4 linked regions of the Drosophila melanogaster genome follow. The protein of the gene in region 4 purifies or fractionates together with the protein of the main gene of each other region. This does not show direct contact. Each region holds a gene or a part of one and is shown on either strand. Other genes may lie near its edges. The genes, in order: Pp4-19C, PpV, mts and Tap42.

The links.
Region 1: the proteins of Tap42 (region 4) and Pp4-19C purify together in Drosophila melanogaster (affinity purification with western blotting; 2 studies listed by BioGRID, with this or other methods). This does not show direct contact.
Region 2: the proteins of Tap42 (region 4) and PpV purify together in Drosophila melanogaster (affinity purification with western blotting, with the first as the bait; one study listed by BioGRID). This does not show direct contact.
Region 3: the proteins of Tap42 (region 4) and mts purify together in Drosophila melanogaster (affinity purification with western blotting; 3 studies listed by BioGRID, with this or other methods). This does not show direct contact.

What each region holds. Positions count from the first base shown.
Region 1 is NC_004354.4:20,420,571-20,425,827, forward strand, and holds Pp4-19C (protein phosphatase 19C), read right to left. Parts: upstream 3,433-5,257; 5' UTR 3,076-3,432; intron 2,437-3,075; exon of another isoform or gene 2,383-2,436; 5' UTR 2,283-2,382; coding exon 1,489-2,282; intron 1,425-1,488; coding exon 1,295-1,424; 3' UTR 517-1,294; downstream 1-516. Other genes in the region: Obp19d (Odorant-binding protein 19d), read left to right, coding at 7-143, 208-286; cactin, read left to right, coding at 3,584-5,257. UniProt on the Drosophila melanogaster protein: Protein phosphatase that regulates many processes such as microtubule organization at centrosomes. The probable PP4 complex Pp4-19C-PPP4R2r-flfl (PPP4C-PPP4R2-PPP4R3) is required to prevent caspase-induced cell death (in vitro).
Region 2 is NC_004354.4:6,370,520-6,374,604, forward strand, and holds PpV (protein phosphatase V), read right to left. Parts: upstream 2,397-4,085; 5' UTR 2,298-2,396; coding exon 2,133-2,297; intron 2,045-2,132; coding exon 1,757-2,044; intron 1,669-1,756; coding exon 1,210-1,668; 3' UTR 546-1,209; downstream 1-545. UniProt on the Drosophila melanogaster protein: May be involved in controlling cellularization or in regulating transcription of the genes involved in this process.
Region 3 is NT_033779.5:7,825,733-7,833,695, reverse strand, and holds mts (microtubule star), read right to left. Parts: upstream 6,047-7,963; 5' UTR 5,645-6,046; coding exon 5,543-5,644; intron 3,235-5,542; coding exon 2,671-3,234; intron 2,228-2,670; coding exon 2,037-2,227; intron 1,963-2,036; coding exon 1,890-1,962; 3' UTR 120-1,889; downstream 1-119. Other genes in the region: Rack1 (receptor of activated protein kinase C 1), read left to right, coding at 6,527-6,635, 6,715-6,926, 7,360-7,963.
Region 4 is NT_033779.5:13,366,010-13,369,521, reverse strand, and holds Tap42 (Two A-associated protein of 42kDa), read right to left. Parts: upstream 1,906-3,512; 5' UTR 1,799-1,905; coding exon 1,676-1,798; intron 1,606-1,675; coding exon 586-1,605; 3' UTR 501-585; downstream 1-500. Other genes in the region: CG31855 (uncharacterized protein), read right to left, coding at 1-121; Grx3 (glutaredoxin 3), read right to left, coding at 2,214-2,391, 2,455-2,717, 2,782-2,991; Nnp-1, read left to right, coding at 3,446-3,512.

The sequences.
Region 1 (5,257 bases), on a different chromosome or scaffold from region 4:
TTGCAGATGGATGAATCCGGTAAGCTGAACAAGGAACACGCCATCGAGTTGGTCAAGGTCATGAGCAAGCACGATGCAGAGAAGGAAGACGCTCCCGCCGAGGTGGTGGCCAAGTGCGAGGCCATCGAGACACCCGAGGATCAGTGAGTAGTGCTCGCCGGAAGCTGTTGGCTCAAATCCGGACTATAATCATGCTGCCATTTTCAGTTGCGACGCTGCCTTCGCCTACGAGGAATGCATTTACGAGCAAATGAAGGAGCATGGACTCGAGCTGGAGGAGCACTGAGAACAGATTTGAGACCCATGACGACCCCCCGTTACTGTATCACAAGCGCCCTTCTGGAATATAACCATCTTTTTTTTTTATGTGTATACTATGAATTAAGTACTTGATAAACTGAGAAACTGCAGGCTTGATTGTTTGTTGGATTGTGAAGGGGGATTCGTATGGGTGTGGTTATCCTCCAAGACTCCTCGGGACCCATAATTTACTAATAAAAAATTCTTGCTCAATTTCGACGATTATATTACAATCTTTATTATTATAAATACAAGTACATTTTTTTGTATATCATCTCCCAATCTGGGGCATATTTAAAAGATTCTTACTCACTATTTATTAATGCACGATGTTCTTCGTACCTGGGTTTCTCCAGGTGATATCCTGCGGAGAAGGGACCCAGCCAGGGATGCGCGTTCGCTCTCGGCTCCCCTAAATATGTCCTAGCTTAGCCGACTTAACGCAATCTGTCGGTAAAAATATCTATTTGCTCAACTTGGGCTCCTAGTATAGTATGCTGCCCAAGCCCAGGGAATTCGTGTCGAGAAGACGGCGGCTCCGATTGCGGTCCGTCTACGCAAGGCGAATTCTCAGGGTCTTGGGCTATGGTCATTAAACCTATTAGTTAGTAGCTAGATGAGGTGCACAGGTCATACGCGATCTGCATGGCTGATCTCTACATGTTTTGAAAACAGCCATTAAAAGATCGCGCAAATAGCCTGATTAAACACAGGTAGAGGTAAACAGATGGTAAAAAAAATTTAAATATCTTAGTTGAACCAAAAAAGCAAATAAGTCTAACTGAACGTGGACCTGTGTCCGGCAGCTCTACCCTAGCTTACGTTTATGTTACATATTTTTTGTTTTACACCATCAGTTGCTATTCGCGTTCGCTTCGCTTTTGCAGGCTGGCAGTTTCTATTTCTATTCCCTAGATGATTTATGTAAGCTACCAGTCGGCACCCGCATCCTGTGCCGACTCCGTTCCACCGGATTGTCAGGAACGGAAGCGTCTTAGAGAAAGTAGTCCGCCTGAGGCTTCTTCGAGGGAATGCCGCGACTCTCTTGCGGAGCTGCCTCAAAGATGACGAAGTCGCGGTGCAGGTACTCATTCAGCTCCAGGATGGCAGCTACATTGCCGCAGCTGCATGTGGAGAGATTCCAGAGTTAACAACACAAGTTCGAAATTGCACAGGAGGCTGACTCACCGATAGCAGTAATTGGGTGCCGACCAGACGGTCAGGACGGTTTCGTTGAAGTGCCACTTGAAGCCCTCCATTACCAACTGGTGTGCACGGCAAATCATGTCGATATCGTTCGTGCGGTTGAACTGGGAGACCACGTCCGAGCCAAAGAGATAGCCAGCGCCGCGCGGCGACACGCCCCAGCCAGTCTGGTCCTCCGGATCGCTCCAAAGCAGGTCGCACATGGGCCCGTCGTGCGGCACCTCCTGCTTCCGGTCGATGCTGCGAATCTGGTCGAGGTACTGGATGGACGGCGACAGCCCGCCGTGCACGCAGAATATTTTGCCGTCGATGATCGCCGAAAGGCTGAGGTAGTCAAAGATCTCCGTGCAGTACCGCCACACGGCCGTCGATCCGTACTTGCGCAGGCACTCATCGTAAAAGCCGTAGACCTGTGTGATTTGGCGCGACTCATGGTTGCCCCGGATCAGCGTGATTCGGTCCGGATAGCGCACCTTCAGCGCCAACAGCAGCAGAAACGTCTCCACACTATAGTAGCCGCGGTCCACGAAATCGCCCATAAACAGGTAGTTCTTCTCGGGCACATCGCCGCCAACCTTGAACAGCTCCTTCAGGTCGTAGAACTGACCGTGGATGTCGCCGCACACGGTCACTGGCGAGTCCACACGCTGCACGTTGCCCTCCTCCACCAGGATCTCGCGGGCTTTGGCGCACAGGGCCTTCACCTCGTTCTCCTTGATGATCTCGCAGCGCTTCAGTTGCTCGATCTGTCGGTCCAGGTCGCTGTAGTCGGACATCTTCACCCGGAGGATGGCGGCAGCCGAGGCGACGGGGAAGCGGTGAATCGGACTGCAGGCGTTGACAGGGCGGGGACAGCGTTGTTAGTCGTTCACCAAACTGGCGCGGGTGGTTTTCAGGTAGCCACAAGGTTGCATAAGAGAAATACTATAAATTTTTGGTCGCTTGAGTGATAGGATAGGGTACTACTCTAGTCGTGCACAGCAAGTCTAGCGTTTTAGAGGCCATAAAGTGCATCTGTATAGCTGCATCCCCCACATCTAAGAATCAAGACGATTCAACTATATTTACGGATTGGGCAAATAATATAAACACACACATTCGCGTTCCCAGCTATTCCACTTGTTGAGATAGTCCATGAGGCTATTTCGCAATGAAAAGCCAACCAACGAGAAAAGAGGCTATATTCTCGATATAACTTCTTTTAGCTGTTTTAGATGGCTGTGTTTTAAGTGAATGCATACACATTTCTTTCAAATACGAAACGTGTATTTGACAGTGGATAGGGTTGGATTTGTTTTAAATCCAGAATTTCTGGATTAGAGATTAGTTCAGATTTTCAGTTGCTGCTGAACTGGAAGTAAGGTAACTAATAGTCGACTAATAACCATCCTTTTGTTTGTGTTTCGGTTTTTGAGTTCGCCTGCATGCGTCTGTGTGCGTCGGCTTTGTGCGGATGCTCGCGTGTGTGTGTGCGTCTGGCTTGTCGCTGGCCTTTTTGCCGCGCGCGATTTTCACCGTCTGCCGTGTTTTTCCTGTCTTCCCCGACACTTTTCCAGAATCACTACTTACTCAGCGCAGTGGCGGGCTATCTGGACAATCCTTTTGCTGGTAGCTCGGCTCTCGTGTTGGCGATTGAATACAAAAAATGCACATAAACGTTTTTGCCAACCGGGTTTCTGCGAAGAGCTGGATTGGCTACTTGCGTTTGTATCGATATATTGAGTAATGGCACTTGCAATGACACATCGAGTCTTCAGTTTCGATAGTGGGCATTACCACGAAGACCCTAAAAAGCCTTTTACACTGCACCAAGGATTCCATCGATAAATTATTTATTTTTGTGTATTTATAATACGCTGCAGCCGAAATTTTAAAATTTAAAGTTTGTAAAAACTAACCCTTGGAAAAATAAATCGACTTATCGGCAAGAGGGAGATGTGTTAATGTTATAATGCTTATATCGATAGCACTTTTGCAATTATTAGTGGCTATCTGGGTTGGTTTTCTCCATCTGGCAACGCTAGCATTGTTTATATTTTATTTCACAAGTTTTATCCCGAAAAACTCATTAAAAAAGATGCCCAAGGAGAAATCCAAGCACCGGCATCGCAGCCGCAGTCGGGAGAGGCGGGATCATCGCAGTCCGGATCCGAGGAGCAGCAGGAACAGGGATCGGGATCGTGAACGCGAGCGGGAAAAGGATCGTGACCACAGAGATCACAGAGACAAGGAACGTGACCAGCGCAGGGAAAGGGAAAAGGACAAAAGCAGGGACAAGAAGCGGGAGCACAAAAGCCGGAGACGCCGGTCCTCTTCCTCCAGCTCATCCCCGTCGAGTTCGACGTCCAGCTCGGTGCCCGGTGCCCCTCGTTCGCCGCTGGTAAAAAGCCCGATGAAGCTTCTCCAGACGCTGGAAGCCCGTCGCCTCGTCGAGCAGAAGGATCGTCAGCGTAAAAAGGAGGAGCTGAAGGCCCATGAAACGCCCGAGGAGAAGCGCGCCCGTCGCCTGCGCGAAAAGCAGGCCAAGGAGCAGCGGCGTCGCGAACGAATGGGCTGGGACAACGAGTACCAGACGTACTCCAACGAAGACAACCCGTTCGGGGACTCCAATCTCACCTCCACCTTCCACTGGGGCAAAAAGCTGGAGGTAGAGGGACTATCAAATCTCTCCACCAAAACCGTAGAGGTACTGTCTCTGCAAAAGCAGTTGGAAAATCGCAGGGAGCTGGAGAAGGTCAAGAAACGGCGTCAGGAGAGGGAGCTGGAGCGGCAGGTGCGCGAGGATGATCTTATGATGCAGCAGCGCGCCAAGGAGGCGGTGCAGTTCCGCGAGTGGCAGCGACAGGAAGATCAGTTTCACTTAGAGCAGGCACGCTTGCGCAGTGAAATCCGGATCCGAGATGGACGTGCCAAGCCCATCGATCTTCTCGCCCAATATGTGGCCGCTGGGAATGAGCCGCTCGAAGAGTGCCTCGAGATGCAGATGCACGAGCCCTATGTGCTGCTAAACGGCCTGCCCGTGGAAGAACTGGAGGACCTGCTGGTCGACATTAAGGTATACGAAGAGCTGGAGCAGGGCAAGCACATCGATTTCTGGAACGATATGATCACCATTGTGCAGGATGAACTGCAGCGCCAACAGAAACTGGAGGCGGAGAATAGTTCGCTCAATCAACGCCGGGATGGCATCCACCAGGCGGTGGTAAAGGATGTGGCCGATATTTTTAGGGGGAAGAATGCTCAGCAGCTGGAGGAGATGCGGCACCGCATCGAGGCCAAGATCAGTGGGCGAGCGGATGGCGTCGACATTAGCTACTGGGAAAGCCTGCTCTCGCAACTCAAGGCACACATGGCCAGAGCTCGACTGCGAGATCGCCATCAAGCCTTATTGCGCGAGAAGCTGTCGCTGCTCAAGCGAGAAAACGATAATGAGACGTTGCAAGAGAAGGTGGCCCCACAAGTCAAGGAAGAGGAGATGGAAACCCAGGACGCAGAGGACCCGGAGGTTGAGGAGGGCTCACCCGAAGACGAGGAGGATCCCCTGAATGAGCTGCGTAAAACAGTGCGTCTTTACCAGGCAGGGAACTACAGCCCGCGCTATATACGCGAAGAGGACTTCACCGGCAGACGAGCGCAAAACGAAGACGTCGACGAACCGGAGGCAGAAGGACTTCTCTACGAGGAGGAGGACGACGAGCGGCGAACACAGAGACAGCGTCTGCTAATCCTTCATCCAGAACGAGTGGATAAC
Region 2 (4,085 bases), on a different chromosome or scaffold from region 4:
ATTCCTAACATGCACTACTCTGCTAGTGTGATTATTTAGTTTTCTTTTTTTTGTAATTGTTGACCCGGAAACGCACGCGTATATATATATACAAATAGAGAAGTATCCAAAACACTGTGAGCATGGCCAGGTGCCATGGAAAAGCAAGTTGCGAGGAATTATGAATGCCACATGATGATGACCGACCCCAGAATGCGAAAGTCACTCACTTATTTACCTCTTTTTCGCCCCTAATAGAAAGTCTAGTACTTATACATATTTGTTTTTGAGTTGGGACGCTAGAATAAATGTTGGGGCAAAGCAAACCAATATATATGAAAACACAATTGTTGAGATGTTGCAAAGCATGAGAATGAGAATGATTCATGAACGAAAACGAAACGAAATAAATGATATTTATGTAAGAAACTCATAATCGAAATTATTTCAGTGGAACTTTGAATATCGGAGCCGTGTCGCGAAAACGACAGAGACGGATGATGGACATTTTGGGAGCGGAATAAGGGACACCTGGTTTTTCCCACTGATTACCGGACAACGCATTTCGAATTGTCTTTTTTGTTTTAATCATATCGTTTTGATCGGGATCACACAATTGGGTTATTCTTAGTTATTCTTATTTCCTTCAAAGCATTACTAATACAAAATGTACAAAGTATATGATTTTTGTGTTTGTTCACAGAAATAAATATGTAGGTTTGGAATACAAAATAACAAAGTGAATCTCTATATACTTCTTGCTTCCATTAGCATCCGTTATCAGTAAATACAATACTTGGATATACAACTTAAAGAAATCAATTCACGTGTTCCCCTCTCTTTGGACTTGCCGGAAACTAATAACAAAGTTTTTTTTTAACTGTGCTCTTAAGAATTAGATATGTGTTTTTGCCATACAAAAAAAGAGACGAAAATTACAAGTTACAGGTGTGTGTGTGGTGTGTGTGGCTTGTGTTTGCTGTTCTGAGTGTTTGCTATGCTTGGGGTGCTCGTTGCGCACGTTTTGAGTTTAAGGCGTTGAGTTCATGGGTGGTCAAATGAAACGGATCAGTCAGTCGAAGGCTGCACTCCGCTCTGCTCTCCACAAGCGTATATGATTATTAGCCACGATGCCGGAACAGTGGGCGGATCGTATTGGATCGGTATGTGGTATGGTATGTGGTATAGTATTGCGTTGCATCACTTCACATCGCATCACATCAGAACGTTTTACAGGAAGTAGGGCGTTGTGTTCTGCTTGGGTATCACACGCTCCGCATCCGGAACAGCCAGGAAGATCTTCGTCTGCCGCTTCTCCGCCGTTTCGAAGCTAAGAATGGCGGCAACGTTGCCGCAGCGATAGCAATAGTTTGGCGCCGACCACACGGTCACCAGTTTGCCATCAAACATATACTTGATGCCCTCGTTGACCAGCTGATGTGCTCGGCATATGAGGTTCAGATTATTGATCGCCATAAAGTCCTTGGTCACATTGTGGCCAAACAGCCAGCCAGCGCCGCGCGGACTCTGGCCCCAGTACTCCATGTCCTCGGGATCGGACCACACCAGATCGCAGAAGGCACCCTTGTACGGTATCTCGCCGTTGCGATCGATCGTCCTGATCTGGTCCAGTGTAATGATCTCGGGACTCAGGCCACCGTGCACGCACAACACCTCCTCGTCGATGATCTGTGTACATTAGGGGCAGTGGGGTAAACATATATGTAAATGATTAAAAGGGTGTTGTCCACATGAAGTATCCCATAGTTCAACTCACGGCAGCGATGGTAAGCAAATCGAAGACCTTGCAGCAGTATTTCCAGCCATTGGCATTGCCGTACTTGCTGAAGCACTCGTCAAAGAATCCGTACACCTTGGTGATCTGCCGCGTTTCGTGGTTGCCGCGCAGCAGGGTGATCCGGCTGGGATAGCGCGCCTTCAGCGTGAGCAGTCTGGTGAATGTCTCCAGCGAGTAGTAGCCCCTGTCCACGAAGTCGCCCATGAATATGTAGTTGGTATGCGGCACCTGGCCTCCAGTGCGGAACAGCTGCTCCAGGTCGTAGAACTGCAATTTGGGGGTGGAGTGCGATGGCATTGCGTTAGTGGACATTGCAATGACGTAGGAGACGAAGACGGAGGAGATGACCGCTTACCTGGCCATGGATGTCACCGCAAACGGTGACGGGCGTGCTCACGGGCAGGATGTTCGTCTCCTCCAGGAGGATATCGCAGACCATCTCGCATAGCTTCTTCAGCTCGTTCTCCGGCAGGTACTTGCATTTCTTCACGTCTTCTATCCACTTGTCCACGTCGCCCATGATGCCCGCTGCCTGTGAAATCCACGGTAAATCGCCTTAAAACAAGTTAATAAATAAGTATTGGTTGCACGTCCATCTGCGCACCTACGGTCACACTGGCTGGTGTTCAATGGTTATCGAGCAACGGTTATACTGCTGCCCACGGTTAGAGTACTAAAAAATTGATCTAAAGTTTCTTCTATTCTTTTTATTTTAAATACTATTGTTGAGTATTTTATTTGCTTTTGTTTTCCATCGATAAATGGTGCATCAATTTTTTGTTTAGCCGATGCAAGCACCAGTCGCATGGGACGTTCTTATTAGAACTGTATACTTGGTGTGTACACACTGCGTAGCGAGAATGTCACATGTTATCGATAGCTAACACATTTGAATTCAAATTCAAAATATTTAATTACTTTGGCGGTCGATTTTGTGTTTTTCTGTATTGTTTTCTTTGGTTTTGTGGAGGCAAGCGAAATTAGTTGCAATTAGCCTTTAGCCGCCACAAATCATAATTAGTCCGCAATGAAAGCTTTTTAAATCCGTTTATTTTTTAACCCAAACCCATTTACATATATATACATATATATTTTCTTTGGCTTGTTGAAAATAATCACGCTCTTAGATTTTATTGCCATCGCACGCCACGCTACTTGTTCGCTGTTTGTTTTGCAGCTCCGCTCATTTTTCCGGGCAGCAAGTGTTAAGGGTTATGAGAAGCGTGCTGGCATGCGTTTTTCGGCACGGGGTGGCACATGGGTTAATGGCCCTGCAGCTTGTTTAGAGTCTCATTAGCACGCTGCCATTTGATTGTGTTGGCTTCTTTCATTTACTTTTCGCATTCGCTGGATCTGAAGTTGGGAAAATAAACGTGCCATAAAGGTGACAATTCGCGAATCAAGGGAAATTGGTAAAAAAAAAAAAAAAAATGAACGTTTCACGGGTTTCGAAGCACAAAATATATGCAATTTATTCAAAGTTAGGATGCTAAGCATATATTCATAGAAAATAATTGAATTAATTGTTTGTATTCGCATTTAATTGTGGAATCGAATTAAATGCAATATCTTTTAGTTTTGCAAATCGAAACTGTTGTGCTCGCCACCCATCTCTTTCTGCCACCTACTCTCCGTTCCTCTCTATCACTCTCACTCTCTTACTCTCTCTTTCTCCCCCCGGCGAAGATGTCGTGCTCCATCATTAGTGGCGTTACTTTATGCCCTTCCGTTTTGGTATTCAACTTGGGCTTGTTCTCCCAGCTGCTTTTTGTGCTCTTTTGGCCATCTTGCCAGTGCTTTCCATTCAGCCATCCAGCCATCCTGCCCCCCCAATGCTGGCCCCAATCCGCTCGCATCCTTCCATTGTCCTTGCCGCTCTGTATGTCGCTGTTTGTGTCCGCCTGGCACAATGTTGACAATTAAGTTAAACTTGTTTTCTTACTTCGTTTCGTTACGTTTCGCCAATTCCGCTCGCCCTCTAAAAGTCAAAGTCCTGTCGTCTGCGGCTGATGTGGCTGATAATTATGTGCCCCCTGCACGGACGCAAAGGACACGGACGGCGGAACAAGGACAACGGACAGCGGACAGCCTCTTGGCTTTATCTTGCTGCAAACACGGTGCCAAAAATTCTAGAGTTTCGAACAATCGGTTAAAAAAAAAAAAGTCTTGGACTTCATATTTTAACAAATTCCTCGGCTCACAGAGTTTTTTTTTTTGTATTCTCAATTAAACGCAAAAAGATTATTACACCTTCGGCTATTTGAATGGTATTTTCAATATTTTCCTGCTGTGTGCAGTCAGCGGAAAA
Region 3 (7,963 bases), 5.5 Mb from region 4:
TTGTTGGGGCATGATAGATGACAAGTCTCGGTAGGTGTACGTATGGGTATGGTTGTTTGCTCGCCAAGTTCTTGGGCACTTGAGAGTCCCCATCCTCGATCCAGCATGTTCTCAAATTTAGATTTTCATCCAGACCAAAACTCATGTGGATACAGTGCCAACTGGCGGTGCACGAACTGCTTATCTCAGAATAATCCATATATTCTAGGGTTTCTACTATTGCCAAATGTTTATTATTTATATATCGTTTACTTTCTTGCTCTTAATATACTTTTCATTCGTATGCTAAAGTTAAATAACCAACTAAATTATCAGGAACATCAAATCCAATCGAAATAGTTTCCAAAATACTTTGTAAACAGAAACAATAGAGAGCGACCACTGTACATGACTTTTGACAGTTCGTGTGGGCGGCTGCTAAAATATGCAAAAATTTATACAAAGTTGGCAAGATTTTTGCTTTCGCTTTCGCTGGGAATCAAAGGCAGCCCGGCTCTGATTTAGATTTTGACTTGGGCATCATTGGTTGGCTGGCACCACGACCTCCGTCCCTTCTATCTGCCCTCTGCCATCCATCCATATATCACCTCCCCCACACCCATATCGCCTCCTTTGTGGTCTCAATTAGGTGGCCCGTTTGAGGCTCGACTTCCGCTCGTCGTGGTGGCCTCGTGTTAACTTGGCCATGTTCGCATACACACTACCAAAGGAGCCCGCAGGCCAAAAGGGAGCGTCATTGCCAGAACGAAAAACCAAAATCGTTCGCATGGGTCTCTCTTAAAGGACTTTCTCCCTTGAACGCGCGCTCTTCGATGGCTCTCTTCGTCGGCAGGTGGGAATTGTTTGTTTGTTTTTTTTTTCTTTCTTTTATTATTATTAAAGTTACATATGAACTTAATTGATAATGAATTTTTTTTAATCATTTTTCTTTGCTTTTTTGTTTGTTTTTTAATAGTTTTATTCGCTTTTTTTTATTTAATTTTAATCAGTAATATTAAATTTGTTGTATTTCCTTATTTTCTTTTTTATAATTTTTGTTTTTATATAAATCGCTGGCCCGCCCCGCGCTTCCCCCATCGCAATGGCGTTCGCTGCTGCTCCTGCCACATACTGCTCCTACTTTTTTGCTGCTGCTTCATCGTTATCTTCCTGCTTTGTCGGTCGTGGGTCGTCTGCTTCTGCTTCTGCTGCTGCTACCGCTGCTGCTTGCTTATGCTGCTACGTCCTGGCGTTCGTCCTTTCGTCCCGTTTAGTCCTTTGTCAGCCCCTTCCGCCCACACACACATCACGTCATAATCCATGAGTCCATCCATCCATCACTCCTGCTCCCTGGCTTTCTGCTGCGACGCTTAGTTCGTTATTTTTATAAATTAACAAATTTAGCTAAGTAGTTGTAGTTCTTCTTGTTGCTTGCGGTTTTGTTGCTTGGTTTCTGGGTTGGTTGGTAGGTTCGATTGGATTGTATCATTTCTGTATACTGCTTCTCCTTCTGCTCCTCCCCTTTATCTTTGATATAAATTTTCTGCCTGCCGCCCCCGCTGGCGACATTTCCGGTTTTTTCCTTTTCTTTTAAACTGTGGCCAACAACAATAACTGTTCAATGCATTTTTGTGTTCTCGACTGTTATGGTTACTTTTTTTTTCTTTGTTTATACAATATCTCTTCCACTGCTCTCTGTTTAAAACGACCTCCACAAAACAAATGCATCGAGGTTTTTAGTTTTGGGTTGTTTTTTATGGTAGTTTTTTTTTCGACAGCACTTGCCATTTTGTTTATTTTGTTGCTGCTGGTTGGATTTGTATATATTATATATTGTTTCGGTTCTTCTTGTTGTTATAATGCGATGTAATATGTGTAAATGTAAGCTGCGTAGGTGCGAGCAATCCAGCTTAAAGGAAATAATCGGGTGTTCTTCGCGTAACATGAGGCTCCCCGCGCCTGGGTGCTGGATCAAATTGTAGGCTAAAATAAATGCAAACGATTAGATTAGTCAGACATGCCGCATTTAAAGGCAGCTCAAGCGAATTGCCACTCACAATGAAAATTTAAGTGAATCATCCAGTTCCATAAGAGCCGCTTGGTTGCCACAGCGGTAGCAATAGTTTGGCGCTGAGAATATTGTGACCACATTGCGATCGTGACACCAGTTGTAGCCCTCCATCACCAGCTGATGGGCGCGCGACACCAGTGTCAGGCCGTTTGTGTTGTTAAAGGTTTCCGAAATATCCTTCAAATAAAATGGAAATATTAGTAAAAATGCTTATAGAAGTAATTGGCTCTTTCTCAATGAAATTCGATTTGGATAGTTAAAATTTGTTTTGTAGTTGACGGTTTGAAATGTCAAAACAATTTATAACGAAAGCTCTTTCCATTGATTGCGTTATCAGTTGGGCCTATATCAGCAGTAGACTTCGATTACTGATTATTGATTTTCATCAAGTGCATGCCCCGATAAAATTTCCTATTAAGATCAATAAAAAATTTATCTAGAATATATTTGCATGCTTTTGAGCAGACAATTTTTGTTCAGCTTAGTTTTAATCGGGTCTTCAGATGTATTTCACTTAACAATTTTACAATGTGATTAAAGAATAAATTTCCAAGTATCCAAGCTAGGCAAATCAGCTCCGAATTTTATTGAGAAATAGCCAACATGCAGACAACACTCACCTGGCCAAAGGTGTAACCGGCGCCACGAGGCGAGATTCCCCAGCCACCCCTGTCATCGGGATCGGACCAGAGCAGATCGCACATGGGACCCTCGTGCGGAACCTCCTGCAAGCGATCGAGGGCCCGAATGTGATCCAGACTGTCGATCGAGGGACTGAGGCCTCCGTGCAGGCAGAAGATCTGCCCGTCGACGAGTGCCGTCAGTGGCAAGTAGTCGAACAGATCCGTGAAGTACTTCCAAACGTTGGCATTGCCATACTTGCGCAGGCACTCGTCGTAGAAGCCGTACACCTGTGTGATCTGGCGCGACTCGTGGTTACCGCGCAGGATGGTGATGCGCTCGCGATAGCGAACCTTCAGGGCCACCAGAAGGGTCACGGTCTCCACGGAGTAGTATCCACGGTCCACGTAGTCGCCCATGAACAGGTAGTTGGTGTCCGGAGACTTGCCGCCTATCCGGAAGAGCTCCATGAGGTCGTGAAACTGACCGTGGACATCTCCGCACACTGTCACCGGGCATTTTACCTCCTGCACATTGGACTCCTTGGAGAGAATCTCCTTGGCCTGTAAAGAAATGGAAACAGTAGACCAATCAGCAATTTATTTATGGATATTTTTAGGGAGATACGTTTTAATGTTACCTCCCTATTCGAATAACCGAATAAACAACTTTGAATACCAATATTAAAATACTGATTAACATAATCTAGCCCAAATCGTTTCCAGGGTCAGAAAAGATAAATAAAACGATTAGTACTTTGTACATTATTCACTATACTTAATGACTCAACGCCAACACTCAAAGTGTACTCTAAAAATAGCTTGTAACTAGAAGAGAAATTAAAACAAATATATTGGATAAGTGCATGCGTTTTTTTACAGAGAATCGAGGGAAATAAATATCACTTGTTCTCTTTAAACATCCCACAAGAAATTTTAATGGCATCAAAACTCAATCTCTTGGGTAATTCTGAAAATAGCTTCCCGCAAAACCCTATAAAACTGTGTACCTAAACATTGCTACTTCCTATAAGAAAAACATAAACATGTAGCAAAATTTCCGGAAATTACAAAACATTTTTGTTACGTTTGTGTGTAAATAGTTAACCAAATGAAAGTAATATGGAAACTTTGATGTTCTATTTTTTCACCTGCCATAATTCGGTGAATGGTGAATGACATGACAGAATATCTGCGAAACAGAAAGTACTGAGAAAACCGAAAGTGATCCGCATGTGCGGATGATAAAACCTTGTCAAAGGCCAAGGTTATCCGTCAAGATTTGGTCAACAAGCGAAGAACCTCAACTATTTTCTCATCGAATTTTGCGTCAGTTGCAAACAAGTTTAAGTTGCTAATATAAGCTGTATGAAAATCAAAACAAAGGAAGCAAAGCTTTTTAATAAGTTGAGATAAGATGAACGTACGATAAAAAGTTGTCCGTATAAACATAACAAATTCACGATTCTGGAAAGTATTCTATCGTCTTTAGTAAAATAAAATATGAAGGTCGATTCAAAAATTCCCGATGGGCGTCAATATACAGCATCAAAAAAACCGGTTTTTACAAACATAAATGTGCCAAAATGAGCAAACAAAAATTGCACATTTATTTTGACCATTCCGCCGTGTTCTTTGCGAATTCTTATATTTATCAGCTGACGAAATGGGACATGACAACAAGTTCCGGGGGTAGAATCCGGCGGCGCAAATGAGCGATTTGTGCGTGAGCCAATTAGATTTTTTGCCATATGCACAGCATTACCTTGGAGGCTGTTGCTTCCGCTTGGCCAGAAATCGAAAAAAAAAAAAAAAGAAAAATAATTTTTGAACTCATGACGAGGCCAGCGCACCCATACAGATGCATGCACAAACACTGATGCAGCTTGTGCTCTCTCCGCGTACTCTCCGCTTTTCTTTTCGTAGCAACGGGAAGGATGGAGAGAGGCCGCAGAAGACGCACCCGAGAAGAGCGAAGAACGTTCTTCTCGGAGGGAGAACGGAGATTCAAGATTCTAATGGGAACACTGACAAATATTTGGGTGACGCAAACATAACCCCACTTACTCCTAAATCAATGAATCGTTATCTGTTCACCCTCTCTTTTTCTCTCCCTCTCTTGCACTCTTTTTGCTTGTCTGTTTGTTTGTGTGCGCGACGCGCCTGATGAACGGTAAAATCGGCAAATTAAAAACAATTGATATCAAAAGTGTTTAATTGAACATGGTTGGTCATAAAAAAAGGAACACAAACACCAATGCAAGTGCATTATTCTAGAATTGAGATACGACGGTACATAGATACATATTCTAGGGGCGCGCACACACCGACGCACAAAAACATTAAGTAATATTTACTCAGCAACGACAAAACGCGCATGAGGTTGCACGGAGCGGGGGTGCTCAGTTTCCGGTGGACACAATAACAACAACATTAAACACGCACAATGCACTTTAGTTAAACAATCAAATTGTACAATAATACAAAAAGAAATATCTCTTTTTGCCCAGGTTTAGCCCATTAGACCAAAGCGCTGTTCTAGCTGTCGCATTCACGCACGCACTTGCCCGTCCCGTTGTCCCGCTCGCACTTGTGCGCGGCAATGCGGCGCTTGGCTGTTGGAATTTACCAATATTCCAATATGGCGACGCAAGCCGCCGCTACTGTGCGAGCAAGAGGGCACGACATGAATCATGCTCTCGCGCTCTCCGCTCAGCGCCTCTCCCCATTGGAAAGAGCGAGAGGGCCAGAGACACGCAGCGTTGGAGCACCATTTGCAAAAAAAAATCGCTCGCTCGCATGCAATGACGAAAATTATTTTTATAACATCTCCTAATTCGCATGGGGAAAATGGGCAAGGACCGGGCCTTACCTTGTCGCAGAGGGTGCGAACTTGTGTCTCTGTCAACTGATTGCATTCGTTCAACTGCTCAATCCATTGATCAAGATCTTTTGTTGTTGCTTTATCCTCCATCGCAGTTGTGGTGGAAGAAAAAGTCTCGTCAATCTTTGTCGATTCAATTTTGACGGCTTTTATTATAACTCAGGGGTGCAGGAAAATTAGCAACTACTGTTGCGTTCGATTGCCAACCGCGTATTCACTCGTTTATCTCCACACAATTGCCAATCGAATCAACTCGATTTGGGCGATTTTCTTCGTATTTTTTGTTCACAAAAGAGACGACGACACGATATACGAAGGGAAAGACTGCCCTCGGTGTGACCGATTGCCGCGAAACGCTTAAGAACGCGCTGTGTGTGTGTGTATCGATTAGCGATGCATGCTTGACATTTCTACAAAAATACCGACTAAAACTTGTGGATGGTATCCTTACTATTTGGCCAACAGTTACCAAGTAAAACTAGAAAATAAAGTGGGATCAACGCTCACCGTTTTTTTTACATTATTACGTGATAGTGACAAAATAAAAGTATGTACATAGGCATTTGGGCAACAAGATATTGGGATTGTTTTAAAATCCTTTAGTAGTCTTTTCATAGATGTGCATTAGCGTCGATTATTTCTTAAATAATAGCACAATTTGTTTTAAAACTAAACTTCAATATTTCTGGGGTTCTTTAGATATAATAATATTAATACTTGGTGTAAAAGTATTTATTTTTTTTATATATATTTTAAAGTTTTTGATATTATTATTTGACGTTACATTTTACACGTATTATTTGTAACAGAAAATTCAAACTATCGATAGTTTTGTCCTGTCCAACACTGAACGCTCGCTGACAGTTGGCATCTTAGCGAGCACTGGAACCGGAACTGCCTCTTTTTCTGCCAGCTTGCAGCGCCTTTGGACGTGTTTCCTTCGCGCTCCGTAGCAAATAATATAAACTCAAGATGTCCGAGACCCTGCAATTGCGCGGTACCCTCATTGGCCACAATGGATGGGTCACCCAGATCGCCACCAACCCCAAGGATCCCGACACCATAATTTCGGCCTCCCGTGGTAAGTAATCGCCATTGAAATTCTTCGGATTTATCTGGTAGCACGTGCGTATATTAATGGCCACCATCTCGATTCGCAGACAAGACCCTGATCGTGTGGAAGCTGACCCGCGACGAGGACACCAACTACGGCTACCCCCAGAAGCGTCTCTACGGACACTCGCACTTCATCAGCGACGTGGTGCTCTCCTCCGATGGCAACTACGCCCTGTCCGGATCCTGGGATCAGACCCTTCGCCTGTGGGATTTGGCCGCCGGCAAGACCACCCGTCGCTTCGAGGGACACACTAAGGTGGGATAAGATTCCAATTGCATTTAGTTCGTTTAGGGAACTGAGATTTTGAACCGATCTGTACCGGCAAAAGGCTAAATGTAAGGTTAGGAGTGAGGTTAGGCCCGCCTTTGCCGCGTACAAATCGAAAAAATATATATTGCGCCTATGCGAGGCAGAATTACTGGTTGACATCTGTACGACGTACGCTTCACCCTTCGCTCGAGTCTCGGCTATAAATTGCTTGAAGCTCCATCGTAAGTAGGCAAACAATCTCTGATACCCATTGATTCCTAATTAGTTGCAAGAAACCCATCTGGATTCCGTTCACTGACTAATTGAGTTGGGACTATGCCCATTCAGTTGGTCAGTGAAATATCCAGTAAATATATTATTTTTATGAAAACCATACCAATACCATTAGCTAATCGTCAAATGCTTGTTCGCTTTCTAGGACGTTTTGTCGGTTGCCTTCTCGGCCGATAACCGTCAGATCGTGTCCGGCTCTCGGGACAAGACCATCAAGCTGTGGAACACCCTGGCTGAGTGCAAGTTCACCATCCAGGAGGATGGCCACACCGACTGGGTGTCGTGCGTGCGCTTCTCGCCCAACCACTCCAACCCGATCATCGTGTCCTGCGGCTGGGATCGCACCGTCAAGGTCTGGAACTTGGCTAACTGCAAGTTGAAGAACAACCACCACGGCCACAACGGCTACCTGAACACGGTGACCGTCTCGCCCGATGGCTCCCTGTGCACCTCAGGTGGCAAGGACTCCAAGGCCCTGCTGTGGGACCTCAATGACGGCAAGAACCTGTACACTCTGGAGCACAACGACATCATCAACGCCCTGTGCTTCTCGCCCAACCGCTACTGGCTGTGCGTGGCCTACGGACCCTCGATCAAGATCTGGGATCTGGCATGCAAGAAGACCGTTGAGGAGCTGCGCCCCGAGGTCGTTTCGCCCACGTCGAAGGCCGATCAGCCCCAGTGCCTGTCCCTGGCCTGGTCCACCGACGGCCAGACTCTGTTCGCCGGCTACTCCGACAACACCATCC
Region 4 (3,512 bases):
CGGTGGGCAGGTAGACGGAGGCACGCTTCTGCGACGTTCGAATTCCATGTTCGTTGCTCAAATGGGTAAAATTGCTCGAATCGTGTATGGGCAGACCCTTGATAAAGTCTCGTACTGACATTCTGCTTTTGGGTTGCTGCAGAGTACGAAAAGTGTTAACACTTGATACTACCACGTATCTGCTGTATTTTAACACACCTCACTTTAATCTTTGTTGATCTATCAATATTTCGAGAGAACTGTCTTCTCTTTTACGTTTTTTGTGTAGCAACTCACAAAAATTTAACTTGTGCTTGAGATTTTTGTTTTTGTTACTGGTGGTGACAATCAGTGCTGCAAAATGCGCGATTACAGCCAAACGCCTACCAATACTGCAACAGTGGAACTATTCTAACTATTTATTTACTGTATATATTGTCAATTCAATAAAAAAGAAAACAATTTTTATTTTATCAATAGCGCATCCCTAGGATTTATAAATAAATTTAGAAACTAGAATTATTTTTTGAATATACTGACTTAAAACCAGTCTTGCGGTTATACCATTTTATTGGGTTTTAAAAAAATACATAAATTTTGAGTTCCTTAACTACGGTTATGACGGTTGCCGTCACCGCGACGCACCACATCCTTGTATTCATCCATGCGCCTCATGCGGTCTATATACTCGGGATCATCCTGCTCCGCCTGTAGCTCCTCAACGGCCTTCTCCTCGTCCTCTTTTTCGTTGGGATCCCGGGCGGCCGCGATGGCCTGTGCCTGATTCATCTTGGCAACCTTCTCCTCATCAGGAAAGATGCCCTCGTCGACGCGCTGCTGGTAGAATTCATCAACAGTCATAATGGGCAAACTGGGGTATCCCAAGCCGAAAACCGCCTTCTGGGTGGCATTACGTGTTATGATGAAGGGCTGCAAGGGCTTTGGCTTAGCGGCCTGCTGATGATGGTGGTGGTGTCCGGGTCCGTGGCTGTGACCATGACCGCGGGAGGTGGACGATGCAGAAGATTGATTTTGATTCGGTGGACGGAACGAATCCACTTCGTTGTCGGATTCGCCACCAGCCAATCGGGCAAGGCGCATCTGGGCCAGCTGCTTCATTACGCCCAATGTTTCTAATTCCTGCTTGGAGTCTATTATACTCTTGTCCAAATACTTGAGGAAAAAGACACGTTTATCCTCATCGTCGACCGTTTTGTTCTTGACTGCATCGCGCATTCTGGCCATATACTCGTCAATCTCCTTCATCCGGCGATACTGGGCTATTTTGTCGTTTCTATTGAAGGCTGCCTCTACCAGCTCGCGCTGCTCGCTTTTTTCCGCTTGGCTATCCGCCTTAGCCACCTGAGATTTGGGCGCTGCACAGAGATCATACTCCTGGCAACGCTGCAGGTGGTCCTTGAAGTAAATCTCGCCCAGCTCTATGGAGTGTGTGTTATTGGGGCTGTTGATCTTAGTGGTAAGCTTGCCCAGAAAGTAAGGGAGCAGCATGAATGGTAGCGATTCCGTGGACACCTCGTCGATCAACTCGTTGGCACTGAACATGCTAACCTGGTTCACAATGACGGTGGCCTGCTCGAAAAGGCCCATTGCAGTCTTCACTTTGTTCTAAACGTTGTGGTAAACGTTCAATGCTGGTTTTTATTACATATATATGAAGATCTTCAATATTACACACCTGAAATTCGCTGCCATTGAAGGGCAGTTCGGTAACTTCTAGCTCGTCGAATATGTTCCAGCCCTTTAGAAAGATGTCCGTCAGCTTTTGGTCCTCTCCGCCAGCGGTATTACCCTCAGCCATTTAAAGATTTGGATATAAGTTTATAGTTAATGGGTATTTTCAATAATATAAATAATATTGCGAAAATAATGTGCAAGATGCCGACGCCGAAACAGCTGTTTACAAAATGAAGGTACGCAAAATACCAGATAAACCAGGGCTGGTGTATAAAAAAGTTCTTACAAATTTCTAGCTATATTTATGTCGTTAAGTTTGTAAACATTTATGGTGACACCATTGAAGCCCGTGTAAGATGTCTTATGGATGACCTATAGCACATTTGCTTTAATACAATTGTTATTAAAAATTTCGATGAATAAAATAATACCAGAATGTAGCAAAAATCCTTTATTAAACCATTAAAAAGTCTAAGGATCTAGCTAAAAATTTGTTTCTGGTTTATGGTGTCTGTAGGAGTAGATGCAATCCGATGGAATTAGCCCTTTAGCGTGGACTCGAGCTCATTGTTCGCCAGCAGTTCCTTAATAATATCGAGTCCGCCGATAAGTTCACCCTTGACGTAAACCTGGGGATATGTGGGCCAGTCGGAGTAGGTTTTCAGGCCTTGACGCACTTCTTCGTCGCCGAGGATGTCAAATGTCTCGTACGGCAAGCTATCGAAGGATATTTTCGTTTATAACTTGAAATCAAATACAACTGATGATCAATTTGCATACTTGGTTTCGTTCACAATGCCGATGAGCTGCTTGGAGAATCCGCAACGCGGTCCATTTCGGTCGCCCTTCATGAATATCATCAGCGGAGCTGTATTGATTAGGGCCTTTAGGCGTTCCTCCAACGTTTGTCCTGTTGCCGCCGCGCTGCTTGCGTTTTCGGCCAACTTTTTGGATTTGGCGCTTATGGCGGCGATGTCTACACCATCGACACGGTCAACGGCGGAGCCCTTGGCGAAGAATATGACTGTGGGCACGGCCTCGATCTGGTGGCATCGCAAATGAATGAGGAACTACTGTTATATTTTCATAAAATAAATACGAGCGTACCTGATGTTTCATGGAAATCTCGGGAAATTGTTCAGCGTTTAGGCTGATGAACTGCAGTTTTTCGCCAGTAATCTTGGCCAGCTCCTCCAGCGCGTCTTTCACCTGACCGCATTGCTCTGCCCATTCGGCGGCGAATAGAGCTACGGTCGTCTTATCCGCATTAATGTACTTCTGGTACTCCTCGGCAGCCGACACGTTCACCACGGGCATGATTTCTTTGAATTATTTAACTAAATTTGCTGGACAAGCAAAATTTACAAAAAGCAGACCGAATTATCAGCTGTGGAAGAGAGTTGCCACTTTCCGTAAAGAAGTCAGCGCTGGTAGCTATAAAATAACAACCTATAAATGGCTAAAAATATATAAAATTGTATTAAAATGTATAAAGCAAGCGTTTCATGAAGTATCAAAACTAGCAATTTAAATATTCTTTTTATTATTCTTTTTTTCTTTATTTTATTCTTTGAAAATTATTTCATTAGCTTGAGTTTTTGTTGTCATTTTCAGTACAGCTCATGCATTTAGAGCTGTTGGACGAAATTTGGAGAAAATGTCGTTTCAACATCTGGCAACATCGAACGGCAACACGTGCGGTCGTGCCGTACCGTATTCAATATACACAGCTCACTTATTTTTCGCAACTAAAAGTTGAATTAGCCGGATAATGGTGACGCGCAAGAAGCCAGTTAAGCGCAACGCCGAGGCGGCCGAAATCCAGGTCGAGCAGGAGG